4 linked regions of the Caenorhabditis elegans genome follow. The protein of the gene in region 1 purifies or fractionates together with the protein of each later gene. This does not show direct contact. Each region holds a gene or a part of one and is shown in the gene's direction. Other genes may lie near its edges.

Region 1 (8,739 bases):
AAACATAATTTCGATATAAAAATCTTGAAAAAACACGAAAAAATGCTTGAGAACAGGTGAAATCGGCAAAAAAGCGGTAATACCTAACGAGACCCAACGTTTGGGGGCGGAGCTTTTCCATTTGACCGTGGAGCGCGCTTGCACCTCGATTTCAAAAATCGCATTTTTCTGCATCAAAATTTTACGATTTTTTTCTCCATATCTCGACACGACAAATATTTGTTAAATACGAAAAGGTGTGCTCCTTTAAAGAGCACTGTAATTTCTCGTTTTGGAATTTTCATTGACACAGTACTCTTTGAAGGCGCACATCTTTTTACATTTAACATACATTTATCGCGACGAGACCAGGCACCGTAGCTTTGGCACAAAAATAGCAATTTTTTCAAATATCAACTACAGTAACCCACAGTTTGACATGGATTTTGAAATAAAAAAGTTTGCGCGTCAAATGTGATGCATTGAGTCATGTACCTAATGCACCACAGTTTACGCGCAAAAAAATTTGGAAAAGTTGAACTCCTGATGTGTGATGTGTTATCAGGAGCGGAGAAAACAAAATTTGTATTTTTCTCTGGGTCTCGTTTTTTTAGGATGCCGTTTATTATTTGTTTCAAAGATTTTTTTTTCAATTTTCAATTTTCAATTTTAATTTTAATTTTGATTTTGCAGGTCAACCATGCCCGTCGCAATTGTCACAGGTAATAATGACTCTAAATACTTGAAATTCCATTCCTCTCCCCTCTTTTCCAGGTGCAAGTTCTGGTATTGGACGTGCGGCGGCTCTTCTTCTCGCCCGGAACAACTACAAGCTCTCACTTACCGGACGGAATGTGGCGGCTCTCAATGAGCTCGCCGGGCAAATTGTCAGTGCTGGAAGTGATAAGAATGATGTACTGGTGACCGCTGTTGAGTTGGCTTCAGAAGAAGCTCCGAAGACTATTGTGGATGCGACTGTGCAAAAGTTTGGACGAATTGACACATTGGTGGGGGGTTATTTTTGGAAAGTTATAATAAAATTTAGAACTATTACGGGAACATAAAAATAAATAAAATTCTGAGAATTCGTACTGCACAACATATTTGACGCGCAAAATATCTCGCAGCGAAAACTACAGTAATTCTTTTAATGACTACTGTAGCTCTTGTGTCGATTTACGGGCTTGATTCTCATAATCAAGATAATAAAGCCCGTAAATCGACACAATCGCTACAGTAGTCATTTAAAGAATTACGGTAGTCTTCGCTACGAGATATTATGCGCGTCAAATGTGTTGCATTACGCATTTTCAGGATTTTGTGTTCCCGTTATAAAAAATTTTAGTTCAAAATTCTTTTTGAAAACGTAATAATTGCGAATTTTGTAAAAAAATGCACAGAAAATTATCCAAATGTGAAGTTTTGCGACTACTATTGCGTTACAAATACGGTATCTGGTCTCACCACGACTAATTTTTGCAACTTGTAAAAAGGTGCGCGCCTTTAAAGAGTACTGTATTTTCTTTTGTTTCTGCGGAATTTTCATCGAATTTTATACTTTTCGATAAAAAACTGTTTGAAAAATTAAAATTTATATATAAAAATCGAAGGAAAATTTGAAAAAATTCTGTAGTATATGCGAGTACTGTAGCTCAGTTTTGCACCCAAATTTAATTATTTTTTTTAAAATTAAAATTATTTTTGTCGCATTTCACATTAAGATTCAGAGATCTTAGAATTTTTATTTTTTAAAATTTTTTGAGAAAAAAGTTTGCGCGCTTTTTTAGATACTTTTTTTTTCGAATTTTCCAAATTTCTGCCTAAAGAGTTTTCTCATTTTTATTTTCGAGAAAAATTGCACCAACCTGTAAAAAGAAAATATGGGGATAACGAAAACATTTAAAAAAACTCTCCAACCGATTCTTGAATTATTAAACCCTTAAAATATTCTAAATTTCAGATCAATTCGGCCGGGATTCTGCGTGCCGGACCAGTTCTCGATTCTGGAATTGAAGTCTACGATGAGCTAATGAATGTGAATGTTCGTAGTTTGATCCGCCTGACACGTGCAGCTCTTCCACATATTATTACAACAAAAGGAACTGTTGTCAATGTCAGCAGTATTAATGGACCGTGCCCTGTATGATGTTATTTTTTTGTTGAAAATAATTTTCAAATTCGCAATTTTCAGTTCCCAAATGTAACCTATTACTGTATGTCCAAGTCGGCCGTAGATCAATTCACAAAATGTTTGGCTCTCGAAATGGCTCCGAATGGAGTTCGTGTTAATGCTGTTTGGTGAGTTTTCTCGCGATTTTTGCCAAAAAACTACGGTGCCAGGTCTCGAAGCGATCGATTCTCTTTAAGGAGTACTGTAATTACGATTTTTTCGGTTTTTAGGTTTTTTAAAGAAATATTCGAAAAATAAGAAAACATATACATTTCTTCCAAAAAGAAGAAAAATTGTCAAAATTTCAAGATATTTTGCGAAAAATCGGAAAAATATTTATTTTTGAAATCGAAAATATTTTTGGCTTTTTTTTTTTCGAAAAATCGAAAAATTATCGGAAAATATGAGTAAGAACGAAATCACAAAAAAAAACTAGGAAAATTTCCTGAAAATTCTAACTTTTTGCCGAATTTTCATAGGTTTTCTTGTTTTTGTTCAAATTTTGATGCATTTTTATATTTTTTGAATAAAAACGAATTTTTTAAAAGACAGGAGCTAAACTATGGAAAATTGCTTTAAAAATCTCGCAAAAACTAGGAGTAAGTAACTACAGTACACTACAGTACTCCTTTAAAGGCGCACGCACTTTTGAATTGAAAAAAAAAAGATCGCTTCGAGACCGGTTACCGTATTTTGGTGCAAAAATCGCTAACTTTCTCATTTTTTGTCGAATGAAACGCTAACAACACACGTATTACGGGAACACAAAATTTTGGGAATTCGTCTTACGCAACATATTTGACGCGCAAAATATCAAAACTACAGTAATCCTTTAACTGACTACTGTACTGCTTGTGTCGATTTACGGGCTCGATTTTGGAAATTAATTTATTTTCTTCGTTTCTTCGTATTATTTTCTCATTTTCAATAATCTTTTGATAAATAAAAAAACCCGTAAATCGGCACAAGTGCAACAGTAGTCATTTAAAGAATTACTGTAGTTTTGATATTTTGCGCGTCACATATGATGCGCAATACGCATTCTCAAAATATTGTGTTCCCTTAATAAACCCATATAAATTTGTCATTTCTCCAAAAATTTCAGCCCAGGGGTCACCGTGACCAACCTGCATCGTACATCTGGTCAAGACGAGACAACATATTCTGCGGTATAAAACCTGCTGCACTGACCTTGACAAATAAATATCATCATTTCTTTCAGTTCTTGGAACGTAGTAAAACGACACACGCACTCGGCCGTCCCGGTGATGCCAATGAAGTTGCTGAGGCAATCTATTTCCTCGCCTCTGAGAAAAGTTCATTCACTACTGGAGAACTTCTTCGTGTTGACGGAGGCCGCGGAATCATGCATCCGAGATAAATATTAGCTTTTTTGTCTCATATTGAGATTGTTTTGAACTTTTATCATGTAATAAATAGAGAGATACATGTATTTTTTTTAATTGTGTTTTTATTGAATCCTTTATAGTGGTTTTTTCCTTGCTTAATTTTTTTTTTTTTTGAAAAAAAATCGATTTTTTTTTGATTCAGTTTTGAATTTATTCAGAGTATCCGAAAATGCCAGTCGCCATCATCACCGGAGCAAGTTCGGGAATCGGAAAAGGCACGGCTCTTCTGTTCGCGAAAAAAAAGTACCAACTCTCGCTGACCGGAAGAAATACGGATTCTTTGAAGGAAGTCGCAGCACTATGTATTTCAGAGGGTGCAATTTCGGCTGATGATGTGAGTTTTATATTTTAGGAACTGTGACGGAAAGTACAGTATTACGGGAACACAGAATTCTGAGATTGCGTATTGCGCAACATATTTGACGCGCAAAATATCTCGTAGCGAAAACTACAGTAATCCTTCAAATTACTACTGTAACTCTGGTGTCGTAAATCAACACAAGCGCTACAGTAGTCATTTAAAGAATTACTGTAGTTTTGATATTTTGCGCGTCAATTATGTTGTGCATTACGCATTCTCAGAATTTTGTGTTCTCATGATAGCAGTTATCACAAAAAAATTTCGATTTTTTTTCCTCGTTTGTAATTTTTGGAAACACCGTTTTTTTGTCGAAAAAACAAAAAAAATTATTTTTTTAATTAAAAAAAACCGCCGCCATGGTCTTGACACATACAAAAAAAAATATTAAAACTCATCGAATATCAAGAAGTATACTAAAAATCATTAAAAATTACAAACACTTGCAGGTACTGTAGCTATGAATTTTATTATGTCGTTTCGAGACCAAAAATCGCAAAATTTTGCAAAAAAAGGGGATTGAACGTTTTTAGGTGGAAAAAATAGCGACATCAATTAAAAAATCGATTTTCATTCCAGATTCTGATAACTGCAGTGGAGCTGAGCTCTGATGAGGCGCCCAAAGCAATTGTGGATGCAACTGTACAAAAATTCGGAAGAATTGACTCATTGGTGAGGATATTCAGTTCGAAACAATTTGAAACTATCGAGAGAAAAGTTTTTCGGAAATTTAGAGTTTATCCATTTATTATTTACAAAATTTTCAGAAACGCGTACATAGAGGATCACGGATTTATTCGGTTGGGTCTTGCCACGAAAAATGTTTTTGCGCGGTGAGACCCAACTAGATAATTGCGTGCGCCTTTAAGTTCGTATCCCAGGAACAATTGCGGAACTACAATAGGTTTTTTTTCAATTTTATGAAGTCAATACTATTCAAAATTTAAACTTGAAAAATAAAAAACTTCACTTTTCCAGGATCCATAGTTTTTTTTTCGAGAAATTTCCCATTCTACCCTTAAAATATTCTAAATTTCAGATCAATTCGGCCGGGATTCTGCGTGCCGGACCAGTTCTCGATTCTGGAATTGAAGTCTACGATGAGCTAATGAATGTGAATGTTCGTAGTTTGATCCGCCTGACACGTGCAGCTCTTCCACATATTATTACAACAAAAGGAACTGTTGTCAATGTCAGCAGTATTAATGGACCGTGCCCTGTATGATTTTTCTTTTGGAAATTAAAAAAAAATATATTTCGAATTCGCAATTTTCAGTTCGCTGGGGTCACATATTACTGTATGTCCAAATCGGCCGTAGATCAATTCACAAAATGTTTGGCTCTGGAAATGGCTCCGAATGGAGTTCGTGTTAATGCTGTTTGGTGAGATTTAAATATTTTCATATTAAGAGCCCAAAAATTGAGAATAATTAAAATAAATTTCAGCCCAGGAGTCATTGTAACCAACATTCATCGAGCATCTGGGCAGGATGAAGCTACATATGCGGCAGTAAGTCTATTCTAACGACACGCAAGAAGTAATGGGCGGAGTCGGAAGCGCAACTCCGCCGCACGATTCTATTTTAATTAAAATTTTAACTGTTTTTTTAAAATATTCACAGCAAGATCAAATAATTAAAGTAATTCTAAAGCAAGATTTCGATTATTCAACCTGACAAATTAAGATAAATTGATTGTTTGATTTTTAAAAATGCGGAAAAATAGACGAAAAACAGTGCGGCGGAGTTGCATTTTCAACTCCGCCCATTATTCCTTGCGCGCCCTTTTCTGTGGGTCAAATTCTACACAGCGACATTACGGGAACACGAAATGCTGAGAATGCGTACTGCACATCATATTTGACGCGCAAATTATCTCGTAGCGAAAACTACAGTAGTTCTTTGAATGACTACTGTACTCGGTAGTTTGGCTCCCTTGGCGCGCGACGAGGGTGCGACTGGCGCGCGGACGGGGCGCGACTAGACTACTGTCTCGCGATCTAGTCGCACAATTTTCGCGCGCCGAGCGCATTTCTTTCGCACACACTACGCGCCCGGTTCGATTTTTTTCTCGCTCCCGCCGATTTTCATATTAAAATTGAAATCTTAGATTAATAAGAATTGCGTTTATTACAACAACGAACAATGGAAAAATAAAATTAAAAAATTAACGGATTGAAGACAGCTTGGCTGCAGGTCAATTGAATCCTAGACGGCGAGAGACTGGTGTTGCAAACCAGCTAGAGCTACTATGGCAGCGCCGAATGTGATTTTGGAGAGAAGATTCGAGTCGTTGAGGTAGAAAACACGACGGAGATGTGGATAAACTGCCATCATGGCGAGCTGCTCGAAGATCGGTGAAGAGGATTGACCAATCTGAAATATTAAGACGGTGAAACCGCAGTTGAAGCTTATAAGCTTATAAGCTAGCCTACATTGCCCGTCGAGAACTTGATTGGTTTCGGGAGCTCAAATTGTCTACAGAATTCCTCCGGCGGCACTTCCCAACGCTGGTCAACTTCTTCCCGTTCAACTTTTGTGGCAATCATGACACACGGCGTTTTTGTTCTGTAAATATTGAAATTATTGGGAATTGGATCTTGAAAACCCACCTATAGAAATATTTCTGATAAACTGTGGCGCAGAACGCGAATGAATTCGAGACATCATAGAGGAAAGCGACGACGGCCGCCGACGTCTCGCCGGACCCCAGCGCATCTTGTGGTGAGAGAACATCAACTTCACGCAGAAGCAGGTACTTGCTCTCCTCTTTCACTCGGACACGATTGATAACGAATGGAGAATGACGACGTCCTATTTGTGCTACATCAGCCATTCCACGTCCTGCTAGGGATTGCATGAAGACTGTTTTTCCAGCGTCCTTGGCTCCGACTACCAGGCATTGGAAGACTTTTCGGTCGGTTCCATGGTTTTCTAGATCCTTCTTCCGTTCACGAGTCACTCTGATCGAGTCGAGTGTATTCCCAGCACGACCTGAAATTACAAAAACTGAATAAAATGAATTTTTAATGAAGATCTTTTTTTTCAAAATTTCCACCTGCCTGGAATTATATTTTTATTGAATTGTCATTTTTTCGTGCAAATTCGTGCAGTTTTAGGTCCGCTTCTCCTCCTTTATATAAAATTTAGTGAAAATCTCCAATTTCGCGGACTTTTACGTGCCGAAGTGATCGGAAATCAGTCAAAATTGGACGGACAATAACGGAAAAACGAGGGATAAGCAATCAAAAGCTGAAATAAAATGTATTTTATTTTTTATATTTTAACCGACATCTTTGGTAATAACTGGAACCGGGCATACTGAGAAGAGATTCTGAAGTTCACTCGGAGAAAGACATCCATCGTTGTCTCGATCGCAAATTTTGAAGACTCGAATCAGTGCTTTTCTGGCGCGATCTGTCAGTTGTTTGGTGTCTGCATCGTATAATGGCCTTGTTGGGTAGATCACAGCTTTCTGGGCGTAGTAGAAGATTTCTGAGACGTTTTTCATCGTGCGAGCCGAGCATTCAACGCAAGTTTCGACTTCGGTGTTTGCCTCCATTATGGGGAGAATCTTATCAGTATTATTTGCAGTCCCATCTGATTTGTTGCCTACCAAAATGACCGGAGTCTTATGGTACTCTCCGAAGGACTGGCGAATCAAGGGTAGCCACCTGAAAATTCAAAGTTATTGATTTTTTAACAGATAATTTCAATGAAAACGTACTTTGTTTGAATTCCATCAACAGTGGACTCGTCTGTAACCGAGTAGACGACACAAATGACATTCGCCTGGCGGATTTCCAACACAATCCAATTTTCATCTGAAAATTGATTGAATTATTTGATTTACATGTTTTTGGCAATTTATTTACCTTCTTCCTTAATCGATAAGTCCACGATACTCGTACAATTCCGAAAAGCTTGATTTTAGAGATACTTTTGTTATTGATGGAACAATCGGTGAAAATTTCACGGTCACCATATTTAACTTGAAGAAAAGCCCTGAAACTATACACTTTAGGCATGTTACTGTACAAAACAAAAAGAAAATAATATTTTTACAATGTTGGAAACAATTAAATAAAAATTATCGAAAATGTGCCAAAAAATTATAAACTGCAAGCGTAATAACGGATTGTCGTTCGTGTTGCGCGGACGGGGCGCGGAAGGGGTGCGGAAGGAGTGCGGAATGGGCGCGGATGGGGCGCGGTCAGAACGCGGACGGCGTGCAAAAACAGTTTCTCTTCGCGAACCTGTTACTTTCAGACAGCCTCATTGCCAAAACAGGTTGATATATATATCTTCACTTATATGTTATATATGTATGAATGATGTAGTTGATATATAATAATTGCCAATCTAGTCTCTTTCAGCTTTCAGTAATATGGTGCCACAATACTAAACGTATAAAATACAACAACGAGACATGTGATCCAGAAAATTAGTTTGAAGATGTTCACACAAACTACACATATATATTTTATATATTTCTATTGGAAAATATACCTGGCATTTAGGGGAAACTTTCTTAGGGATGTGTGCATCGTGCCTCCACAATGCCAATGCTGCGAGTTTCCTAATCTCAGATAAACGTGTTAGCTTCTATTTAGAAGGAATAGACCTATTTAGTAGAATCGGAAAACTAATTAGAGCTAAATAGAAGAACTAGTTCTAAATAGATCAGGGTTTGATCTAATTAGAACAGCGTAAAAATGGCAGATCTATTTAGACCTAAATAGAAGAGGGTAGATCTAAATAGAAGAGGACGACACCTAATTAGGTCAGGGATTTCGACCGTTAGTGTGCAAGCATAAAAGCGCG
Region 2 (7,919 bases), 1.1 Mb from region 1:
AACGCGTGGAAAAGTCGTGTACTCTACACGGACAAATACATTTAGTTTTACAACTAAAACCGAGCCGCGACGCGACACGCAACGCGCCGTAAATCTACCCCAGATATGGTCGAGCCAAAATGGCCTAGTTCGGCAAAAACTCTTCCATTTCAAGGGAAGCCAGAAGCGTGCGTACTCGCGAGTACGGTAACTGAGAAAAATTTTACAGTCGTGGTGGGACCCAGGTTACATGAAAACGCAATGATTTCTCACTGAAATCTTGTGAAAAATTGAAAAATAGAAGAAATTTTGAGTTATTTTTTCTGAAAAACTCGAAAACTCCTTTTAAATTTCGATTTCGCCCAAAAATTTAATTTTTTTGCAGCATCCAAATGTCGTTAAATTCTACGGAGTTGGTGCAAGCCAGGAGCCGCTGTACGTCATCATGGAGTTGGCGGATTGTGGAGCCCTGGACTCGTACCTTCAGAAGAATCCGAATTTGGTGCCCGACAAGAAGATGGAGATGATCTACCAAGCAGCGTGTGGAATCTCGTATATGCACGAGAAGAAACTTCTACATCGAGACATTGCGGCGAGAAATTGCCTGTATGGAGGTGGTCAGGTCAAGATTGCGGATTTTGGGTTATCCCGTGAGGGAATCTCGTATGTCATGGACCTGACGAAGAAGGTTCCGATTCGTTGGTTGGCTCCGGAGACGTTGAAAGCGGGGATTTATAGTCCGAAGACTGATGTGTTTGCGTTCGGTTAGTCTTTCCAATAACATTTTCAAATAAAATAGACATTTTTTCAGGAATAATGGCTTGGGAGATCACTGAGAATGGGAAGGAGCCGTACCCAGACATGAGAGTTGCTGACGTCGTCGGAAAGGTCCGTAATGGATACCGCATGCGGTTTGATCCGGTCTTTGTGGACTTCAGATTCGGCGACTATGTCACGGTTGGTTTGAATCTGAAATTATAGCTAATTACTAATTTCTCATTTTTCAGAAGCACTGCTGGGCTGAAAATCCGGCGGATCGTGTGAGCATGGCGGATGTTCTGCGCTATCTTCAGACAACTTTTGGGATGAAGCCAGTGGTTCTATCGATTCTATCGAGCAATCGCTCGACCGAGGAGGAGATGAAGACGATGAAGCCGCCAATGTTCTCGGTGAAGAGAAACAACAAGAAGAAGCCGAAGTGATCTTTGATTTGTTCGGAAATAAAGTTTTGATAGTTTTGACTTGAGATGTTAATAAAATTGTTTTATTACCCTGAGAATTCGAGAGAAGAATACGGTACCTGGTCTCGAAACGACAATTGTTTGTTAAATGCGTGAAGGTGTGCGCCTTTAAAGAGTACTGTAATTTAAAAATTGCGGTATTTTCTTCAATTTTTTTATTTCTTTTGATTTGTTAAAACATATACTGTTTTTTGTTAGTTTATTGATGAATAAATTCAATTTTTTTTACAAAAAAACTACGAAAAGTCGATAATTACAGTAATTTTCAAAGAAAGGCGCACAGATTTATTCAGATTGGTCTTGGCACGCAAAAAAGTTTATGGTAGTTTATTTTTGTGCGATTTTATCTATCGGTGAAATTACGATGTTAATTTTTTCAAATTCATATAGCGGATCTGGAAATATTTTTGACGTTGATAATTTTGTGTTTTATAGCCTGAAACCGACTTAAAATACAGAAATTTCTACAACCCAAAATTGTCGTAAGATCCGCTGCTTGCGGACATCAAGTGTCGTCGTTTATGACGTAAAGTCCGCAGATACACACACATGACTCATGAATTTGTTTTTATCGCTTTCTTGCGAAATTTAACTTATAAAAGCACTTTCTCACCGTAATTCTCGTATTTCAGAAACTCAAATACCAGCTTAATACACATAAAATCATCATGGGAGCCGGAGAAAGCAGTATGGCCTTGGAAAGTGAGTTTCAAATTGATTTCTCTTGATTTTGACTTATTTTCATGTTTTTATCTTCCAGAACACTTATTTGATCTTAAATTCGCAGCGAAACAGTTGGAAAAGAATGCTCAACGATGCGAGAAGGATGAAAAGGTCGAGAAAGACAAGCTGACGGCAGCTATTAAGGTAAAAAATAATTAAAAATGAAAAAAAAAACAATTATTTTTTAAATTCGATTTTTTCCAGAAAGGAAACAAAGAAGTCGCACAGGTTCATGCTGAAAATGCGATCAGGAAGAAGAATGAAGCAGTGAACTACATTAAAATGGCCGCCAGAATCGACGCAGTGGCCGCCCGAGTTCAAACCGCCGCCACACAAAAACGAGTAACCGCCAGCATGAGCGGCGTAGTGAAAGCCATGGAAAGCGCCATGAAGAGCATGAATCTCGAGAAAGTTCAACAGTTGATGGATAGATTCGAAAGAGATTTCGAAGATCTCGACGTGACCACAAAGACGATGGAAAAGACGATGGACGGAACGACAGTGTTGAATGCTCCGAAGTCACAGGTGGATGCTCTGATTGCAGAGGCCGCCGACAAGGCAGGCATCGAGCTCAACCAGGAGCTTCCGTCAAACGTGCCAACTGCTCTGCCGACCGGGACGCAAGCTGTTTCAGAAGACAAGGACCTCACAGAACGCCTGGCTGCTCTTCGCAACATGTGATCTTCCAGATTTCTCAAGAAATTTCTGTGAATATGAATATTCTGCTGACGGTTTCATTTTTAAAATTAAGATACTGCTTTTTTTCTTGTATATACAACATTTCTCTCAATAATGAAGCAACAATTTTTCTGCTTTTTTTTTGTTTTATCTAATCTATCTAGATCTACGAAGTTCAGCTCATGTCTTCTTCGAAATATTTATTCTTTTATTTTTCAGAACATTTTTTCTACAAATCGGTCGCTTACGTGTAGGCCACAACAATCACCGCCCGCGTTTCATTCTCTGCGTCTCTCGTCTTCCCACACTCTCTCTCCACATCGTCTTATCTCTCTCATCACTTGTTTTATTATTTTTATTCTTATTTTTCACGAATTTTCTATAAAAAACGGAATTTTCGAAGGTTTTTAAGGAAAAACGTGGCAGTTTTAAAGCTATTTTAAACATTTTTCGGCTAAAATTTCGAATTTCGGCTTTAATTAATTGATTCAAATTTAAAAATCAAATTCTGAACTCTGAAGTGTGTACTTTGACCCCGCCGCCGCTGTTTTTTTCGATCATTTCTTCATTTATTAATAAATAAATAAATTTATTCCCAGTTTTTCTTCCAGCCAAGCGATGAAGATTCTCGTCGGAGTCAAGAGAGTTGTCGACTATGCTGTCAAGGTAGGATTTCAGGAAAAAGAGCAAAAAATTCGAAAAAACAGCTTAATTTCGGCGAAAATCTTGAATTTCACCAACTTTTCCGTGTCGCAGCAGTTGGAAATCAGTTTTTTGTCATTTTTGGCTCAAAGTGTACCCCAATCAACGGAAAATCGATTAAAATTGGCAATAAAAGCTGATTTCCAACCGCTGTGACACGGAAAACTTGGATAAATTGGAGATTTTAGACACATTTCGATTCTATAAAAGCCCAAAATTTCCAGATCCGTGTCAAGCCGGACCGCTCGGGAGTCGTCACCGAAGGAGTTCAACACAGCATGAATCCATTCGACGAGATCGCTTTAGAGGAGGCCGTCAAGCTCAAGGAGAAGAAGCTCGCCACCGAAGTCGTCGCGTTCTCGCTCGGCGGACCAAAATCCGCCGAAGTGCTCCGGACCGCGTTGGCGAAGGGCGCCGACAAGGCAGTTCACGTTCAGGTGACCGACGCCGAAGCTGGCAAGCTCGAGTCATTCCACGTGGCGAAGGCGCTTCAGAAGATTGTCGAGCAGGAGAAGTTCGACGCGGTTTTTCTCGGAAAGCAGGCAATCGATGATGATTCGTCGCAAACTGCTCCGATTCTCGCTGGCCTGCTCGAGTGGCCACAGGCTCTCTACGCGTCGAAGGTTGAAGACGCAGGCGCTGGACACATGAAGGTCACCCGTGAAATTGATGGAGGTCTTGACACGATTAAGGTGATTCTTACTATATCGATCGATAGCCGTGAAAAGCAGCCCCGCACAGAACGCGAGACGGGGCTTGATATTGCAACCCTGCGGCACGGTTTTTCCTTTTTCCGCTTGTTTTTTGTTTGATTTTTTCAATTTTTCATGTTTTAATCTCTTTTTTCGAATGAGAACGTTATTTAATTTAAAATCAAAATTTATTAATCGATCCTTAAATTTTGCAAAAATTTGTCGCACAGAAAGTGGGGCGGAGCGTAGCTTACGCAACACTGCCGCACGGGGTTTGTCTCCGCCCCTTTTCCACTGCTTTTTTTGTTGATTTTTTCAATAAAGTTTCGATTTTTCTCTTTTTTTTCGAATTGGATTTTCATTCGAAAAAAAAAGAAATTATTGAAAAAATCAACAAGAAAAGCTTAAAAGCAGTAGAAAAGGGGCGGAGGCAAACCCCGTGCGGCAGTGTTGCAAAAGCTATGCCCCGCCCCACTTTCTGGGCGACAAAATTTCTTGCAAAATTCAAGGATCGATTAATAAATTTTGATAGTTAATTAAATAACGTTCTTATTCGAAAAAAAAGGAGATTAAAACATGAAAAATTGAAAAAGCGAAAAAAGGAGGAAAAACCGTGCCGCAAGGTTGCAAAATAACGCCCCGCCCCTATTTCTGCGCGCCGCTATTTTGTTTGCAAAATTCACGGATCTAAAGTTTTATTCGAAAAATTTTCTATTTTCCAGGTCAAAGTGCCATTCGTCCTATCCGCCGATCTTCGCCTCAACGAGCCCCGCTACGCGACTCTTCCAAACATCATGAAGGCCAAGAAGAAGCCACTGAAGAACATTCCAATCAAAGATCTGAATGTAGATATCACACCACAAACTGAAACTCTTGAAGTCACCGAGCCACCAGTTCGCCAGGCCGGAGGATTCGTCGACGATGTCTCGGCACTTGTCGCCAAGCTCAAGGAGAAGGGATTCGTCAAGGCTTAAGCCCCCGATAACCTCTTCCGCCGCTGAATTATTGTAGTAGTCGAATCAGAAAATTTTGTATTTAAATTATTTTTATTATTTTTTCTATTCAATGTTTTATGTGATGCAGGTTTAAAAAAGTATGAAAAATTATTTTTGTTCATAAAAGTGAATAGCTTGAACGGGAAACGATCAAAAAACGGAATGCATTGTTCACAAAACCATGGGAGAATTGGTGTAGGTAGATCTGGAAATATTACGGATTATTATCTGGGCGCGAAAAATTACGCGCCCCGCCCCTAAACGATGGGTCTCGTTAGGTAAATATTTGGCGGCAAGACGGGAAATTCAAATGTTTTACATTATTCTTGCCAATTTTTAAGCTTTTTTTCATATTTTTTATAAGTTTTAGGTCGAAATAACGATTACTTCCGACGATTTTACCCGTTTTCAAGCATTTTTCGTTATTTTTTATGTTTTTATGCCGAAATTATGGTTAAAAATGATTATGACATTAACTTTTTCAATTTTGACAAAAAAAAACTCATTGAAAACAGCGAAAAATGCTGGAAAATTGGCAAAAACGGTTTTCCCGCCAATTCCTAACGAGACCCAACGGTTTGGGGTGGAGATTTGTCCGTGGAGCGCAATTGCACTTTATAGTATTACGGAAACTCACACATTCTGAGAATGCGTACAGCGCAGCATATTTGACGCGCAAAATATGAAAATATCTCGTAGCGAAAACTACAGTAATTCTTTAAATGACTACTGTAGGCCGATTTACGGGCTCGAATATTGAAATGAATTTCATTTCGAATAGTGACAAAGATATTCAATTTTTCTTCGTTTTTCAAACAAAAAATCATTTTCGTAAATCGACACAAGTGCTACAGTAGTCATTCAAAGAATTACTGTAGTTTTCGTTACGAGATATTTTCATATTTTGCACGTCAAATATGTTGCGAAATACGCATTCTAAGAATTTTTAAGTTCCCGTAATATTGGAATTTTTGGAATGAAAAAAAAAAAGAAAAACTTACCATTCTAGTCTGAGAATTGCACTGGGGACATATGGATTTTGAGGGCGATGATGTGTTGAATGACTCGTATTTCGGAGATTTCATGCGGAACGACGTCGAGTCCCCACACCGGAATACCTCTGCCGACCTTGATGACGTCATCCGTAACGTGGCTCGCCCTGAAACGACGTGTCGTGTCTGCTCCCGCTGCTCATTGCACATTGAGAGCCTCGCCTGCCGCCGACGCCGCATCATCACACTCTCACCGTCGGATCTTCGTTCGATCAACAGAGTCAGCGAATCGGAGCGGGACATCCAGAATCGGAAGATGCTCGCCGCCTGATCTACGGAAACGGCGCGAAGTGAGATCTTGTTGCACCGGAGTAGACGATCGCCTTCTCGAAGATGTGTGCTCTGGAAGTTTTTTAGAATTTTTTTCGAAAAAAAAAGTGACCCCTAACTGAATTATGAGTGCAGCTAAGCATGTTGAGCTCAAGAAAAAAAGAAAAGAAAAAGTAGCGGCCATCCAATTATGTGTACCCGCGGCTCATCGGACTTGAGCGAGCCCTATTACTCATTCAAGTGCTCACTAAATTGGCTTTTTCTTCTTCTTTTTTCTTGGGTCTTGCCGCGATTATGCACATATGTGTATAATAATTTTTCCCCTATTGTGCGCCTTTAAAGAGTACTGTAGCTTCAAAGTTTTGTGGGATTTTTTTTGATTTCTCATAGTGTTTCGTTAAAAATCGATTTTTTTAATTAAAAAATTACTGAATTCGATTTTAAAATTTTTTGTTAAATATAAACGGGTGAGCGCCTTTAAAGGGTACTGTAATTTCGAACTTTCGCTGCTATGGAATTTTTTAAATAGATTTTTCGTAGTTTTTCGATAAAAATATATTTATTTATTTAAAAAAAGAAATAAAACAAAACATAAAAACTACGAAAAAATCGATGCAAATTTCATAGCAACGAAAGTTTGAAATTACAGTACTCTTTAAAGGCGCGCATCCATTTTTATTTAACAAACATTTTAAAAATTGAATTCAGTTTTTTAAATAAAAAAAAATCGATAAAAATCCCACAAAAGTTTGAAACTACAGTACTCTTTAGAGGCGCACAATAGGGGAAAAATTGTATGTGCATAATCGATAATTGTCGTGTACACGTGGTATCAGAGTGTCTCATTTCGGCTTGATCTACGTAGATCTACAAAAAATGCGGGAGAAGAGACGCAGAGTTCTCAACTGATTTTGCACGTGCTTACGTCACATTTTTTTAGGCAAAAAATTTCCGCATTTTTTGTAGATCAAACAGCAATGGGACAGCCTGGAACCACGTGATCGTGTCGAGACCGGAACAACTTTTTGGCTCCAAAATCGAGAAATATATTGATCTACAATTAAAAGAAGAATGTTTAAAACAACGAAATTTTCTTAGAAAATTGCGAAAAAGTTTCGATCGTGCCAGGACCACTAATAGCAAAATCACAAGGGGACATTTTCGGCATGGCCTAGAAAAAAAAAAGAAAACTCGGCCATTAAGAAACATTATCAGCTTCCAGCTTTCAAAGGACAGTAAAAATTAATTTAAGGAATTTCGCTGGCCGAGTTTTTGCTTTTTCTAGGTCACGCCTCAAAACACACCTGCGGAGAATCCGGATGAATATAATCGACAAATATCCCTCGACTCCGGCTCCCAACCATTCGAAACGCCATTCCATTTGGCTGCTCTGTATCTCGTGGGATTGAAATCTAGAATTTTTTTATTATTTATTTCCTCGATTTTATTTTCCGCGAGAAAACAAAAAAAAAACGCGAGCGTCTCTCATCTTTAATTCTCGTATTTTTCTGACATTTCAATTCCCTTGTTGAATTGGGAATTGGCTGAGCTTAGGCGACTACATGAAGAATGCGGAATGGCTTCTGA
Region 3 (8,191 bases), on another chromosome or scaffold:
TTGAAGTTGGCTGTAATTCCTTGTTCTATTCAATCGCCTACTTTGAATTCCCCAAAACTCGCATCACAATCGGAATCAAAAGTGTGCAGCGCAATCTCAACGAGCTTGACAAGTCAGTGACGAAAATGGCTCCAGCATTACCTCGGAAGGATTTCGTCTAAACTTTTTATTTTTTCTGTAGATTTTAAACCTCGATTTCAACGGGTTCCCCAATCCAGTGTTTGTACATATAGTTTACAATTTTACAATCAGTGAATAAAAACGTGTAATTTGTATTAAAAAATATTTTATATTTTGAGAAGAGAATGAGTTGGAACAACAAAAATAATCTGACGTGGATATATCCAAATAAATGGAAATAAAATGTATTTCCAAAGTTTTCACAATTCGAGGAGGATGTCTAACCTCACTTTCGTCAGAAATAGCTATTGTGAGTTTTGAAAAAAGTTACAAATTATGGAGCCACTACTGCTCGACTTGGAGCCAAAACTCCTGGACTTCAACATCTTAAACCTTGGATTTTCAGATCCTCAAAATGGCCCGTACAGTGATGGATTGAGTGAGCTTGTCCACAATATCTCATACTCTAACAGTTCTGAAAATTGTAGGTGTTGTGACTGGTCAAGTTCAGGAGACAGTTGACGTTTTTATGGCTATTATCCTGGTCATGATTGTCATTTTTCTAGCTGTTCATGTGAGTTTCTGGCTACAAGATTATTGTGTTGTGGAATATGAAAATGCCTGCCTACTTGCCTACGCCTTCGACGCCTGAGCAGGAATTTTTGTTTTTGAGATATTTTGAACTACAATTTATCGTTTTTCTACGTTTTTCATATCCAAAAGTTCTTGTTCCTTTTTTAAACAATTGCAGGCACGTACTGTAGGCACATAGGCTAGCGTTTCTCATGCACACAAAAAAATTTTACCAAAAATCTATCTAATTCTCTCTTTTCCAGCTCTTCATTCGATTCCACTACAAGGCAAAAACCGAGTATGCCCTCAACGAGCTGCGGGAGAAATTCGACAAAAACCCCAATGGTTCATCTGCATTTGCTCTGCCAAAGGATCCGAAAAAGGCAGGTGATTCTGCTCCAAAACCAGTTGAGATTTTGATGGAGCCGGAGCAACTTGCTCCGATGGTTCACTACATTGCAATGGCGCCACCTGGAAAAGCGGAGCAGCCGAACAAGAATGTCTTCTACAATGCGAATCCGTGAAAGCTCAGAAGTGAACTCGATGTCTAGTTTTTATTTTATTTTTTGTTTATTCTAGTGTTTTTCTGTTGTAAACTATGGATGTGTAATAAATGACTTTGGAGGCTGAAAACAGCCATAACCATGAGAAAAGTTGGAATCCTGAAAAATCTAGGGCGGGGGAGACTGCCAATTTCAGAGACGTTTTGACAAATTTAGCGATTTTCTGTTTTTCTTCATGATCTAAAATTTGTCATTTTCCAACTCTTACTAATCTCCGAGTTCGAATCTCGTACAAGATTACAACTACAAGCTTCTACCAGCAACTGAGCTCATGTGGTTCATAGCTTCAGCAACCCGTGAGACGTCGGCCCGTCCAAGACAACTGAAAGAATAGTCTTGCAGCCGACACTTTCCGGGTTCAAATACTAATTTAGAAACCTGTAAATCTTAATTTTTGGAGCGCCTCTAGCAGCCGACATCTTGCTGGTTTCTGAAAAAAAAAACAAGATTTCAAAAGCTGAAATTAGCTTGCAAGCCAAAATTTCAACTTTTGTGCCCACGAGTCTATTCAGATCAAACCATCTTCCCCTCACATTAATGTTCGAAAACTGATCACTGCTGTTTGCCCGTCTGCGTCTCTCCTCTCTCCTCCATTCCACTTGTTTTCTTCTCTATTTCTCCACGTGTTTGTACATAAACGTGATAATAATTATTGTTGGCGCGATTTATTTATTGAATTTAAAAATTAAATTCTTTAAATAAAAACCTTACGAATCAATTTATTTCTCGATTTCATTGCGTTTACGACATTTTATTTGTGAGTTTTTGTTGGCACGTGGCAATTGTTTTATACTTTTCTTTTTTTCAGCAAAATGAGTGCAAGTCTGGCACGTGGAATACTGAGCAAGATGGGCGGCTCATGCTGTCCTCACCATGCCCCAGCTACAAATCCATTCAAACTTGCAAAGCTTCATGGAAATAACAGTTAGTTTTTTACCCGAGCAGGCACGCAGGTAGGCGTGCCTGCCTGAAAACTTTCTAAAAAACCAATATTTTCAGAGTCAACAGATTACGCGTTCGAGATGGTGTGCTCAACTCTTCGTTTCGGAAAAGGAGTCACGTTGGAGGTTTGCTAGCAATATCACACATCACTAACTCAACTGTGAACTTTATCAGATTGGATACGACGTCCGTAATCTCGGAGCAAAGAAAACGTTGCTTATCACTGATAAGAATGTGCAGAATACGATCGCTTTTAAGTGAGTTATAGGAAAGCTTTAAAGCTCTAAAATTATTCAACAGACAAATTTTAGAAACGCCGAGCAAGCCTTAAAAATGGTGAATATCGAGTATGAGGTGTTTGATGATGTGCTCATTGAGCCAACCGTCAACAGTATGCAGAAAGCAATCGCATTTGCCAAATCGAAGCAATTCGATAGTTTCATCGCTGTTGGTGGAGGATCTGTGATCGACACGACGAAGGCTGCAGCTCTATATGCTTCTAATCCAGAAGCGGACTTCCTCGACTTTGTTGGACCACCATTCGGAAAATCCATGCAACCAAAGAACCCAATGCTCCCATTGATCGCTGTGCCAACAACTGCTGGAACTGGATCCGAGACTACCGCGGCTGCAATCATGGATCTTCCAGAGCACAAGTGCAAGACTGGAATCAGACTTCGTTGCATCAAGCCGTACTTGGCAGTTGTGGATCCGTTGAATGTGATGAGTATGCCTCGAAACGTGGCAATCTATTCTGGTTTCGATGTTCTCTGTCACGCGTTGGAAAGCTTCACAGCTTTGCCATTCGATCAAAGATCTCCACGCCCTGAGAATCCAGGAGTTCGTCCACTTTATCAAGGTTCCAACCCGATCAGTGATGTCTGGAGTAAAGAGGCTTTGAGAGTGAGTTGGAATTTCAACCATGAAGCTCTAAATGAATTTATATAATTTCAGATCATTGGAAAATACTTCCGCCGTTCTATCTTCGATCCAACCGACGAAGAAGCTCGTACAGAAATGCTCAAGGCTAGTTCATTTGCTGGGATTGGATTCGGAAACGCTGGGGTTCATCTTTGCCACGGACTCTCCTACCCAATCAGCTCCCAGGCGAAAAGCTGTGTGGCTGATGATTATCCAAAGGAGAAGAACTTGATTCCACATGGACTCTCTGTAATGACAACCGCAGTGGCTGATTTCGAGTTTACAACTGCCGCGTGCCCAGATAGACATTTGATTTCTGCACAGACTCTTGGTGCAGATATTCCGGTATGTAAATTGGCCACCAAGATGGTTCTGAACTAACTAGATATTTCCAGAACAATGCCAGCAATGAGTACATTTCCCGAACTCTTTGTGATCGGCTGAGAGGTTATATGCGAGACTTTGGAGTTCCAAATGGACTGAAAGGAATGGGATTCGAATTTTCTGATATTGGTAGAACACCTCTCTCTAGTTGAACTGCCTTATATTATACTATTTTCAGAAATGCTTACTGAAGCAGCCAGCCACTCCGTCCCAAATATTGCAATCTCTCCAAAGTCTGCGGATCGTGAAATTATCAGCACTCTGTACGAGAAGTCCCTTACGGTTTATTAGTCATTTTTCTTATTGTACTTATTTTATTATTGGTTGTACCATATACGTTATTGTTTCTTATGTTCAATGTAAATGTATTTAGAATAAATAAAGAAACAGAAACAGAAACAAAACAATGGCGCCAGGTGTCACCAGAATAATTAGAATCCTTCACCCCCCCCCCCCGTTTTTCTTCAAGGAACCGTTTAAATATTGCCGGCTTACTGTACTAATTAGGGATGACTAGAGGCGGGGAAGAACGAAGAAACATTACTACGCGACACGCAAACAATCGTAGGAATGTCCTTTGAAGCGCGGCGTGCCGGCATATTTGAATTTTGTTGCTGAAAGCTTTTTGGCCTTGGCTGTTATCAAGGATCTATGTATGTTTTGAGAGAATTGTCGAGAATAGCAGGATTTTGGAGACCAGGTACGGCGATACACTGGGTTCTTTTGGAAATTTGGCATATTTTAAGGTTGAATTTTTTTAGGAATTCGTTGGCAAAATGGTCAATTTTCATATCTCATTATCATTAATGTCATCACGAACTTTTCTAACATTAAACTTAACAAATAATTTTAAAATTTCTATATTTTTGAAAACAAAACTTAGATTTTGAGACTTTGCTAAAAATTTAAAAAAATATTTTTATGGCTTTTAAAATATTTGAAAAATTGATAAGAAGGTTTTTTTCCAATAAATTTTTTACAACTTTTGAAAAATTTGAAAATCTATAACAGATTGGCAATTTTTAATTGTAGGTGTTCTGGCTTGTAAGAAAAACTTTCTCCAGGCTGTCCCATCACGTTTTGATCTACAAAAATGCGGGAATTTTTAACCCAGAAAAATGTGACGTCATCACGCTCTTAGCCATGCAAATCCAGTTCAGAAGTCTACGTCTAAATTCCCGCAATTACGTAGATCAAACCGACATGGGACACACTGACGCCACGTGTTTCTCCAGTTCTAGACAAGTTCCAGATGAAAACTAAGCGGTTTTCCGATTTTCAAGCACAATTTGGAGATTTTAGATAACTTTGCTTTTTGTCTATTATTACAGAAATTGCCGATTTGCTGGAAAAAATTCAATTTCGTCACAAGAAACAAATTTTTTTGCACTGTTTTATAAAAAAAGGGGCCCGTCCACCTGCTTCACATATCTCTGATCTTCTACTAGCGCAAGCTCAACGTCATCAACAGATGCTAATAATGTATGTTGCGCTTATGGTCAAGATTTGAATAAGTGCTCGCTTCACGAGCTTGCAGTTTGACGCAACTCTAGAAGTGGGGGTCTGTGTGACGTCACAACCTCGAAGGGTCAAACAACGTCATATGGTGATTCCGGGTAAATAGTGAAATATATGTTTGGTGGTTGTGGGGAATCTTTATTATTTCACAAATAGAAAAAAGTAATCATCGAAACAGCGAGAATTTTTGTACAATACAAGTAATTTCAATGGTCATCAGAATTGGGTGTAGGAAGCGAATTGAGCAAGAGGGATCTGGAAAAAAGATGAAAGAAGCAAGTGGGAATTCTAGTATAGAAATGATTAATTTTTGGGAGGAGGCTTGGGCAGGATTTGACTAATCACAAACGAAGTCGTGGATGTGACAAGAACCAGGAAGCAGTTGGAATTTCATAGGAAAATCCAACAAAAGGTTCGAGCACATCCGAACTCTCGGAGAGGGGGAGGGAGGTGGAAATAACTTAGAATAAATGTTTTAATATATATATATATTATTTTTTTCAGAATAATAAGAATAATAAACTGGAAGATTTGTTGGGAACACCGGTTTAAAAATTAAAGTTTAGGAAATAATGCAAAAGCTACATAGAAAATGGAAGACTGGATGTGTTTTGAGATTTTTTGGGATTTGGTTTCGAATCGACATAGAAGCTAAACAATGCATAAAATAATGGGTAACAAATGTTCATAAAGTCTTGAAGATCTTCGGCGGCGTCGAGTCCTCCTCAAACCAGTCTGTGCTCCGACGACGCTTCTTCTCTGAGGATGCGGGGCTGGAGACATCAGACGAGAAGCCCGAGTCGTTGAGGGGAGTTGATGGAGTTTGCTCGGAGAGGGGGATCGGCTCGAGGAGCACAAGCTTCTGGAAGGCAGGTTCCTCTGGTGGTGGAGTTGGGAGGGGTTCTTCCTTGAGCTCCTTGAGCTCTTGGAAGGCCTCTGGCTCTTGAGTGGAGGCCGGCGCGGATGGTGTCGGTTCCGTCTTCTCAGCATCTTCTGATGTGTAGATTGGCGTTGTGCTCATGCAACGCTGCACCATCGGGATGTACGAGTCGAGAAGGTTCTGGAAAAGGTTTAGATAAGAAATTATAAGTGCTGATTTTTTTTTCACTAACCACTTCCAACTGGAACATGTTTGCCAAGAGATCCTTGATCTTTACTGCCAGCTCCTTATTCTGTGTTGGGAGATTCGATACGTAGTAGAGGCCAATTGCACATTGCATGGATGGGAATAAGGTGGCAAGTTTGTGCACTGAAAAACCAATATTCATATTATTGATTTTATCATTAAAATTCCAAAATTCCAAAATTTAAGTTCAATCTTTTCTCCCCCCTTGGCCCATTCATCACTGTTCCCTCTGCCAATCATTCGCTCGCTCGCGCCTCAAGGTTTCGATTTCAATCATTAAGAAAAATCGAAGAGGGTGGCTGTGGAGGACATAGATGATTATCTACGAACAAGTCTCTAAGTGTCTGGGCGTCTGAAACATCAGTGGAACTCTCTCTGCCTCAAAGTGCGCGTTTTCACACCTTCATACATATCTTCCAGGGGTCTGACGCGCCAAAAATTTTGAAATTGAAACGGGCTGGCTGCCGAGAGAGAGAGAGAGGTAAAACGCTTATCTTGTGCTAACATAAACTTTGCCTACTGTAGAGGAAGGTCGTCGTGCTATTTTCATGTAATTTCACACTCCTTTTTCAAAACCGACTCTCCAAACCGCTTGTGACATCACACGTTCTTCACAATGCCTTGCGTCAAAAAAATCACCAGAAGCCCATTCAAACATGCGCAATTAGGCTATGCTCCTTTTAAGCCTCGAGCACCTGTTGACAGTATGTGTAGGATCGCGCGGTCATGTTGCATAATTGAATAGACCGCCCGAAATGACAGCTGGTAGACGATGATGATGATGGTGATGATGTAAAGATATTTGAAAATCTGGGAAGCATCTCATCCTCCTCAATGAGGATGGCACACGCTTCCGTAATCCCAATAAAAAAGTAATCGACCGCGAATGAATTTATATATCGGTCAAACGGATGTCCAACGATTGATGACTCCTTCTTCAGCTGCTCCTTTTCAAATTCCACTACGGGGGCACTGTCAATCAATTAGGCCTTGGCTGATGAAACATTCATTATTATACGATGATCTCCATTCAAATTTCAAATTCAAATGTCATCAGTTGCCCCAGAGAGATGACCCTTCCCATACTGTCATAACATTAATGTAGATGATATACATCCCTTGTCATCGGTGGTGTCTTGGAAGAGCAGATTGCGACATAACTTTTCTTTGTGTGTGAGGGCCGCGCAACAACAGGCACAACATCACGGGGGCTCGTCATCGTAAATCAAGAAGCGCAGATTTCACTCCTTTTCACCCCCATACATACATACCTACAAACACACACACACGGTATTCTTTCATAATCTAGCCCAAATCTTCCAAATGTATAAATCAACGGGTAGGCACGCGCCAGGTGGACACAACTTTCCTAATCCGTTTGGATAACTGAACATCCATTAAGGCAGAAGGATATGGGGGGGGGGGGGGGGGGGGCAAACACTGCGAGATGATCGATCAGAGCATTCCATCACGCTATCAAGTTGCCAAAGGCGATGCCGATCGGAAGTTTTGTTCAAATAAACATTGGGCAATAGGTACAAGGGCATTTTGAAAAAGGTATTGCCTACTGTAGAGCCTATTCTTTGAAGTCACTTCAACCGCCGGGATTAAAGCGACATGTGTTTAAGGGGAGTCGCCTTCTAATTGTTTCGGGTGTCAAGTGATCCGCAACAGTTAAACGGTTTCCCTAAGAGCCCACTAATTTCACCCCCCAAGCCATGCCGCCCGGGAGATAGCTATCTATAATTGAACCCGGGCCACCTGGGCTGTCATGTCACTATTTACAGCCATATTCTTCTAATTCAGATATTCACCCAGATGTTCTTAAGAGTAATTGCAAAATTGTACTACCCCACACACACACACGCGCACACACACAGTCATTTTTTAGCGTCTCAGTGTGTCACCACAGAGGAGGACGGCTTGAGAACAAAGAGGACGCACAAAATTTTGTGTACCTGGTACTGACTCACTTACTTTTTGGTATCTTATATCTGTAGTTGGGGGGTGGGAAGCCTTAACAAAGGCGCTAAAACCTAGGTCA
Region 4 (7,170 bases), on another chromosome or scaffold:
TTTAATGTTTTAATTTTTCTCTTTAATGAATTTTTTTTAGTGATTAAGCATCAGTCTTGAATCGAGAAAAATAATGTTAAATTTCAGAACAAATAAAACACATTAAAAATGTTAAAGGTAAATTGGTTTTTTTTGAGCTTCCAGGCTCTCAGTCTTTGAACCCATAAATGTTATCAAAAAGTTGCATAAAGACCCAGAAATTCTACAAAATAAGATAACAGGGAGTTTGAAATTACAGTACTCTTTAACGGCGCGCACCTTATTATAGTGAGCAAAATTTTGTCGTGTCGAGACCGGGAACCGTACTTTCGTGTTCAATTTTGCAAACTTCGCATCCGGGTAATAGTTTGATTTTGATTCCTCACTCAGATTCATTGAAATACATAAATATAAACATTTTATTAGGTCTCATGTTTCCCCCACTTTCGATAAGATATTGTTGTTTGCGAAAATTCGGTCAATTATCAACAAATTGTTCGATAAGATAAGCATTGACTGCTCTTTAAAACTGCACATTCTGGCCAGTTTTCGTTTATTACGATTTTTGGAACGATTTCTGGAGTTTAAGAATTTTTTTCGATTTGCAATGAATAGAATTTCGAAAGTTGATGTCAAAGTGAACATTTTGACTTTTCTACAGTTCCGGTTCAGCAGTTTTTCCGGCGCCAAAAATAGGTTAAATGCCGCGAAAATTGTCAGTTTTGTCTCACTTTCGAAATTTCGAAACATATTTATCAAGAACGAGGCTGTCATTTTCAGTATTTAAATTTGATTCGATTTCACTATTTTAACTTTACCATTTTTCCTACATGGCGCTCTTTTGGAATTCTTTGAAATTAAAAAAAAAATATTATTTTGAAAAAAATAATTAATGAACAAGTGTTTTCCCTCCAAGACGCAAGAATTATTTTTCTGTGTGCGCCTTTAAAACTTACAGTAAACCAGACGGTCAAATTTCTTCATTTTTATTGAAATTATTCAAAGTTTTCTGATTTCTAGAAATTTCTTTTTTTTTCCTAATTTTCTAATTTGATTTCAGCCCAGAATGAAATTGATTATCGAGGAGAACGCCGATAAAGTCGCCGAATTCGCTGCTCGATATGTCGTTACAAAGATCAATGAAGCGACTGAAAATGGAAAATATCTCGTCTTAGGACTGCCAACCGGCTCAACTCCACTCGGAATGTACAAGAAACTCATCGAATTCTACAATGCCGGAGTTATCTCCTTTGAAAAAGTGAAAACTTTTAATATGGACGAGTATGTCGGTGAGAAAAATTTGATATTTCTTTAATTAGTTGAAATTAATAAATATTTCCAGATCTTCCACGTGACCATACAGAATCGTATCACTCCTTCATGTTTGACAACTTTTTCCGACACATTGACATTAATCCAGCTAATGTAATTTTTTTGATTTTGTTGTTTTTTTTTTTTCGCCAAATGTGGTTCCAAAGTCAATAATTTCAGATTCACATTCTCGACGGAAATACGTCTGATCACGAGAAGGAGTGTGAAGAGTACGAGCGTAAAATCAAAGAATCTGGCGGAATCGATTTATTTGTCGGTGGAATTGGTCCAGATGGCCATATTGCGTTCAATGAGCCCGGAAGTTCGCTGGCAAGCCGTACACGTATCAAGACCCTCAACGAGGATACAATTCAGGTGCGCGCCAGAAAAATTCTCAATGGAGCGCGCCGTGTTGTGTCGATTTACGATTTTTCTTCAGTTTTGTCGGAAAAAATGTTCCATTGACAACAATAATCCGACGAAATTGAACGAAATTTGTTGGAAAACGTCAATCATCTCGTAAATTGACATGTCACAGCGCGCTCCAATGAGAATGTTTCTGACGCGCGTTTGAAAGTCGTCTTAAAATAATTGAATTTTTCGCGCTACATTGACAATTGCCTGCTGGAAAGTCGTGTACTCCACACGGACAAATACATTTAGCGTTGCAACTAAACCCCGGCCTTGGCCGAGTCAAAATGAGCCAGAACCGCGTGTGCACATAGATATTTGGAATCAGGAGTAAAATAATAATTCCAGGCTAACGCTCGTTTCTTCGGTGGAGACATCACAAAAGTGCCAACACAAGCTCTGACAGTCGGCGTCCAGACTGTAATGGATGCTCGTGAAGTGATGATTCTCATCACAGGATCACACAAAGCGCTGGCTCTTCATCAGGCAATCGAATGCGGAATCTCTCACATGTGTACGGTCTCTGCGATGCAGATGCATCGATGTGCAACGTTTATTGCCGACGAAGATGCCACGTTGGAGTTGAAAGTGAAGACGGTCAAATATTTCAAAGGATTAATGAATCATCATCGTTCACTTGTCATGTTTTAATCTGTATTACTTTTTTTCATGTACCCTTCCACTAATTTTCACTGTAACTTTCACTGTAACTTTGAATACTAAATATTGAACATTTTGGTACTCATTATTTGCCCATTATTCTTCCCGAAACATTTCAATAAAATTGAATTTTGAAAAATATTTATTAAACTTTCACAAACAAAACAATTAGAACAAGAATAAATACCAAAAAAAAAATGTTTCACCAATCCTCATCATCCCCCTTATTTCCACGTTGTCCCTTCTTATTTTTCGCCTTCTTCTGTCCTTTTTCTCCTGGTTTGTTGATGAGCAACGTGGCGTGTCCGGTTTCTTGTAAATGAGCAAATAACCTGGTCCGGCTATCGAATACCTCACGGCATTTATCACAAATTGCAGATTTTGGTTCAGTTGACTTCGGTGCTTCTTCCTCTACTGTCGCCGATGGGTTTTGATTTTTATCAGCTGAAAACAAAATTTTTGTTTTTGTTTTAAAGATTTTGCAATTCTACAAAATGTACCTCTTCTCTTCTTTTTCTCTTTCTTAACAACTTCCGGGGTACATTCCTTTTCCTCTTCCTCCGGCTGCTCATTTTCCACGGGCGGCGCTTCCTGAATCTCGGCTTCTACTGCTTCTGTTTCTTCCACATCAAATATTCCATTCCCCTTTTTCCTATCCTTTCTCTTATTCTTCTTTCCTTTCGGTGTTTCGTCGGGTTTCGGTTCTGCTTCGGTGAAAATCGTGGAATCTTCTTCTTTCATATGCTTTTTCAGCTCATTCAGCTGACGGATGTGTTGCTTCGAGTTCTCATGATTCAACTTGGCGTTTCTGAAATTAAGTTTGAAGAATATTATAGAGATGAATATAATCAGACTTTTGAAATTGAGGTGCAAGCGCGCTCCACGGACAAAAGTTGGGTCTCGTTAGGTAGTGGCGGTAAATCCATAATTTTAAACGTTTTCAATATTTTTTCGTATTTTTTGTCTCTCACTTTTCTTCAAGGATTTTCATTTTTTTCTAAAATAATCAAAAAATCAAAAAAATTATTTTTCAGAAAATTGACACACAATTTCAACTTTTTTATAAAGTTTTGTATATTTTGATAAGAAAAATTAGTCTTTTTTCTTTTTTTTTATATCGGAAAATTACATATCGATTTTTTTTTAGTTTTGGTTCATTCCAATTCGAAAAAAAAATTCTCGATGTTTTTTTAAAAATTTTTTCAATATTTCAAAAAATTTGATTTTTAGAAAAATGACCTCAAATTTTTCAATTTTTCTTCTTTTTTTTCATTTTTTAAACGTTTTATTTAGATTTTTCGATTTTAAAAGATCAAAAAAAAATTTTTTAAAGGAGTTCCGATAAATCTATAATTTTCGTTTTTCAATTCTCAATGTTTCGATTATTGTGCATTTTTTAAGCTTTTTTTTAAACAAAAATCGTTTGAAATTAAGGTTTTGCAGCCAATGCCTAACAAGACCCAACTTTGGAGGCGGAGCGATTTAATTTTTCCGTGAAGCGTACTTGCATCTCCATTTCAAAAATGGCATTTTTCTGCGTCTTTATAATATTCTGCTTACACAGTTTTGAACGATTTGCTACAAACAACACAATATGGAAGTTCTTCTCCTTCTTCATCACATTCATCACTACAAGTATCGTAATCCTCGGCCATTTGTAGACTAACTTCAATCAAATGAGCAAGACGGGCTGCCTCGGCTTCTTTGTCGTTCAGATATGAGTTGGCTAGCCTGAAAAATTCAATTTTTTCCTTATTTTTCACAATTTCGGAACTTACTCTTGATTTTTGGCGATCTGCTTTTTTCGATTATCAGCTTGTTTCTTATGTGCTTCCAATTTTTTTTGCTCCAAAATTTCCCTATATGCTTTGACACGTGGATCACGTTTTCGAACAAAAGCGACCAGATTCTGAAAAATTTTGTTAAATTTAAATTTAAAATTAAATATTCCGGACAATCATACCCTAATTTGCTCGTTCCTTTCCTGCTTTCCGACATCCCTAAACTTCTTATTTTCCTGATCGATTTGCCGTGATTCGAATCGATTTGAAGCCTGTGTGATATCATAATGATCCAGCCAGGCAAAAGAGCGAGTTGTCGAAAAAGAGCTCCAAAAACCGTAGAAACCATTCACAGTTTGCTCCAAATCGGTATCCTTGTCGCCAAACTCTGGATAGACTATTGTTGAATCGTTGTACGCATCATATTCCTCAGAAACTAGGATATTGAAGACTTTCCGGTAGACAGTGAAGAAGCCCTGTAATTTATAATTTTGATTTACTTTTTAGATTTCATTCTCACATTTTTATCGTTTTCATATCCTTGATAGCAAGAAGCGGTGAAATAGGGGAACAAATCCGTGGATTGTTCCTCGAAATCCGTATTTTTTCCCTTCAGAATACTTTCTCTATGTCTATCGTAAAATTCGCGTTCTCGTGGATCACTCAAAACGTCGTACGCAGCTTGAAGAAGCCTAAATTGCTGAGTACACTCTTCGATGCGATCCGGATTTTTGTCGGGATGCCATTTGAGCGCTAGTTTTCTGTAGTTCTTTTTGATTTTATCGTCATCAGCGTCGCGTTCAACTTCGAGCACTTCGTAATGGCATTTCATAGCTGAAATATTTAAAATTTACTCTAAATATGATTTTATTTTATAAATTGAAATGAATAGTTCATGCGAAACCATTTAAATAATAATAGAAACAAGAAAAAGAATTAAATGAAAAGAAAAAGTTATCTATCGTCTCTCCTTTCCACACGATGTCTCGCCATCTACATTAGAGCGCAATTGTAAAAAAATAATTTCCTATATTTTTTCCCACGATGTTTTGACGAATTCTGAGAAGCTAATTCACATTTTCCTGTTGTGATTCATATTAAATGTTGTTGAGCTAAATAAGAGCTATCGATTGATATGTCTGCCAAATTTCTTGCAAAAATATAACTGATAAAACTCTCGATAACAAAAGTTCGTTTCGAGTTCAAGCTCGGAAACCGATTTCCAAAATGTTGTTTCATCTTTATTTTCCTGAATTCCATCAAGTTTTCCCTCATTTAACATTAAAAATCTGTGTCTCTGATCACTCGTTGATACCAGTATCACATTAAAATCGTCCTTGACGTCGTCCACGCGGCCAATTTGTCCTTCAACCTCCATATTGTCATTCTTTACTTTTTCCTTGCAGTTTCGAACAATGTCCAGTGGAAAAGTTATCGTATACGGAGGCAAAGGCGCACTTGGATCTGCTATTCTTGAATTCTTCAAGAAAAATGGTTATGTAAGTTTTAAAAGAAATTGAATTAGGATGTTGTAAATTAATTTTCATTAATTTTCAGACTGTTCTAAACATCGACTTGAGTGCCAATGACCAAGCTGACAGTAATATTTTGGTGGACGGAAATAAAAATTGGACAGAACAAGAACAATCCATTCTCGAGCAGTAAGTTGTATTTTTAATTTAAAAAAAAGCTACCGTAACCTCATAAAATATTTGCAGAACTGCTTCATCTCTCCAGGGAAGTCAGGTTGATGGAGTTTTCTGTGTTGCCGGTGGATGGGCTGGAGGCTCCGCTTCTTCAAAAGATTTTGTGAAAAATGCTGATTTAATGATCAAACAATCGGTAACATATATTAATCCTAAACATCTGGTATTATTCTACCGTGAATTTTCAGGTCTGGAGTTCAGCAATTGCAGCCAAATTGGCCACCACTCACCTCAAGCCGGGAGGTCTTCTTCAGCTTACAGGAGCTGCTGCTGCTATGGGACCAACTCCATCAATGATTGGATATGGTATGGCAAAAGCTGCAGTTCATCATCTGACATCTTCATTGGCTGCCAAAGATTCGGGATTGCCTGACAATTCGGCCGTTTTGACAATTATGCCAGTCACTTTGGACACCCCAATGAACAGAAAATGGATGCCAAATGCTGATCATTCAAGGTAAAATTAAATTACTCTTTTTCTTTTGCATAGTTTTCTATGTTTTTTTTTCAGCTGGACTCCACTCTCATTCATCTCTGAACATCTTCTCAAATGGACCACAGAAACATCGAGCCGTCCATCTTCCGGGGCTCTCCTCAAAATAACCACTGAAAATGGAACATCGACTATCACTCCACAATAATTTTACCGACATTTTTCAGCCTTTTTTACATTCCGCTTATTATCTGTTATTTTTCCATGTAGTATGCTATCAATTTCTAAATCATTTGTCCATAAAGCTTGTGATGTTTTTAAGTAAAAATGTTTTATTATCTAGATGCGAAATATTGCAATTTTTCTGCTGAAAATACGGTACCGGTCTCGACGCGACAATTTCTTATGGTTTTTTTTTAGTTCCCTATTTTCTTTAAATTTATAGAAAATTCTACGGCAACAAAATGTTACAAAATTACAGTACTCCCTAAAGGCGCATCCCTTTTCGAAGTTAATCAAAGTTTGTCGTGTTGAGACCGAGTACCGTATTTTCGGGGCAAAAGTAAAAATTTGCTAGAAACTCGCAAAAGATTTTATACAAATTACGTTGAAAATAACTTTACCAAAATATTATGAATTCAGAGAATGGAAAATATACCTTGGAAGGGGCACACCACTTTTGCGATGGGTCCTGAAACGATTTTAATTAAAAATCTACAACATATTGTTCATGCTCCTTTAAATTACCGAAAAATTGTTTTTTTTTTTCGTTTTCTTTTTCAGCGTATTATTACATAATTCTTGTCCCAAATCTTTAGTTTAATTCGTCAATTCTCACCATATTGATATGACAAGAAAACAGAGAAACCCGCAGTTTATTAGTCACTCC

Evidence for each region.
Region 2: the proteins of Y47G6A.21 (region 1) and etfb-1 fractionate together in Caenorhabditis elegans (co-fractionation; one large-scale study listed by BioGRID). This does not show direct contact.
Region 3: the proteins of Y47G6A.21 (region 1) and hphd-1 fractionate together in Caenorhabditis elegans (co-fractionation; one large-scale study listed by BioGRID). This does not show direct contact.
Region 4: the proteins of Y47G6A.21 (region 1) and qdpr-1 fractionate together in Caenorhabditis elegans (co-fractionation; one large-scale study listed by BioGRID). This does not show direct contact.

What each region holds. Positions count from the first base shown.
Region 1 is NC_003279.8:3,554,785-3,563,523, reverse strand, and holds the start of Y47G6A.21 (DeHydrogenases, Short chain), read left to right. Parts: upstream 1-3,716; 5' UTR 3,717-3,727; coding exon 3,728-3,892; intron 3,893-4,495; coding exon 4,496-4,588; intron 4,589-4,955; coding exon 4,956-5,135; intron 5,136-5,192; coding exon 5,193-5,299; intron 5,300-5,362; coding exon 5,363-5,426; intron 5,427-6,121; coding exon of another isoform or gene 6,122-6,291; intron 6,292-6,350; coding exon of another isoform or gene 6,351-6,483; intron 6,484-6,527; coding exon of another isoform or gene 6,528-6,909; intron 6,910-6,977; coding exon of another isoform or gene 6,978-7,167; intron 7,168-7,237; coding exon of another isoform or gene 7,238-7,589; intron 7,590-7,642; coding exon of another isoform or gene 7,643-7,739; intron 7,740-7,790; coding exon of another isoform or gene 7,791-7,943; intron 7,944-8,739. Other genes in the region: Y47G6A.22 (DeHydrogenases, Short chain), read left to right, coding at 680-701, 754-986, 1,940-2,119, 2,171-2,277, 3,255-3,318, 3,372-3,530.
Region 2 is NC_003279.8:2,415,667-2,423,585, reverse strand, and holds etfb-1 (Electron transfer flavoprotein subunit beta), read left to right. Parts: upstream 1-3,232; 5' UTR 3,233-3,239; coding exon 3,240-3,287; intron 3,288-3,547; coding exon 3,548-4,015; intron 4,016-4,737; coding exon 4,738-4,989; 3' UTR 4,990-5,125; downstream 5,126-7,919. Other genes in the region: F23C8.7 (Tyrosine-protein kinase), read left to right, coding at 365-743, 791-936, 987-1,181; did-2 (Charged multivesicular body protein 1b), read left to right, coding at 1,889-1,922, 1,981-2,087, 2,148-2,624; F23C8.13 (PDZ domain-containing protein), read right to left, coding at 5,129-5,215, 6,012-6,404, 7,637-7,744.
Region 3 is NC_003280.10:12,990,070-12,998,260, reverse strand, and holds hphd-1 (Hydroxyacid-oxoacid transhydrogenase, mitochondrial), read left to right. Parts: upstream 1-1,916; 5' UTR 1,917-2,013; intron 2,014-2,064; 5' UTR 2,065-2,068; coding exon 2,069-2,180; intron 2,181-2,255; coding exon 2,256-2,323; intron 2,324-2,372; coding exon 2,373-2,455; intron 2,456-2,509; coding exon 2,510-3,101; intron 3,102-3,152; coding exon 3,153-3,464; intron 3,465-3,514; coding exon 3,515-3,632; intron 3,633-3,681; coding exon 3,682-3,794; 3' UTR 3,795-3,899; downstream 3,900-8,191. Other genes in the region: Y38F1A.8 (Serpentine Receptor, class T), read left to right, coding at 1-161; Y38F1A.7 (uncharacterized protein), read left to right, coding at 457-559, 609-694, 957-1,217; cyd-1 (G1/S-specific cyclin-D), read right to left, coding at 5,707-6,081, 6,134-6,270. UniProt on the Caenorhabditis elegans protein: Catalyzes the cofactor-independent reversible oxidation of gamma-hydroxybutyrate (GHB) to succinic semialdehyde (SSA) coupled to reduction of 2-ketoglutarate (2-KG) to D-2-hydroxyglutarate (D-2-HG).
Region 4 is NC_003281.10:13,388,362-13,395,531, forward strand, and holds qdpr-1 (Dihydropteridine reductase), read left to right. Parts: upstream 1-5,548; 5' UTR 5,549-5,557; coding exon 5,558-5,641; intron 5,642-5,699; coding exon 5,700-5,803; intron 5,804-5,860; coding exon 5,861-5,984; intron 5,985-6,036; coding exon 6,037-6,305; intron 6,306-6,359; coding exon 6,360-6,489; 3' UTR 6,490-6,618; downstream 6,619-7,170. Other genes in the region: T03F6.3 (Glucosamine-6-phosphate deaminase), read left to right, coding at 1,046-1,268, 1,322-1,404, 1,471-1,665, 2,050-2,352; dnj-17 (DnaJ homolog subfamily C member 21), read right to left, coding at 2,564-2,805, 2,862-3,169, 3,922-4,092, 4,140-4,270, 4,325-4,618, 4,663-4,974.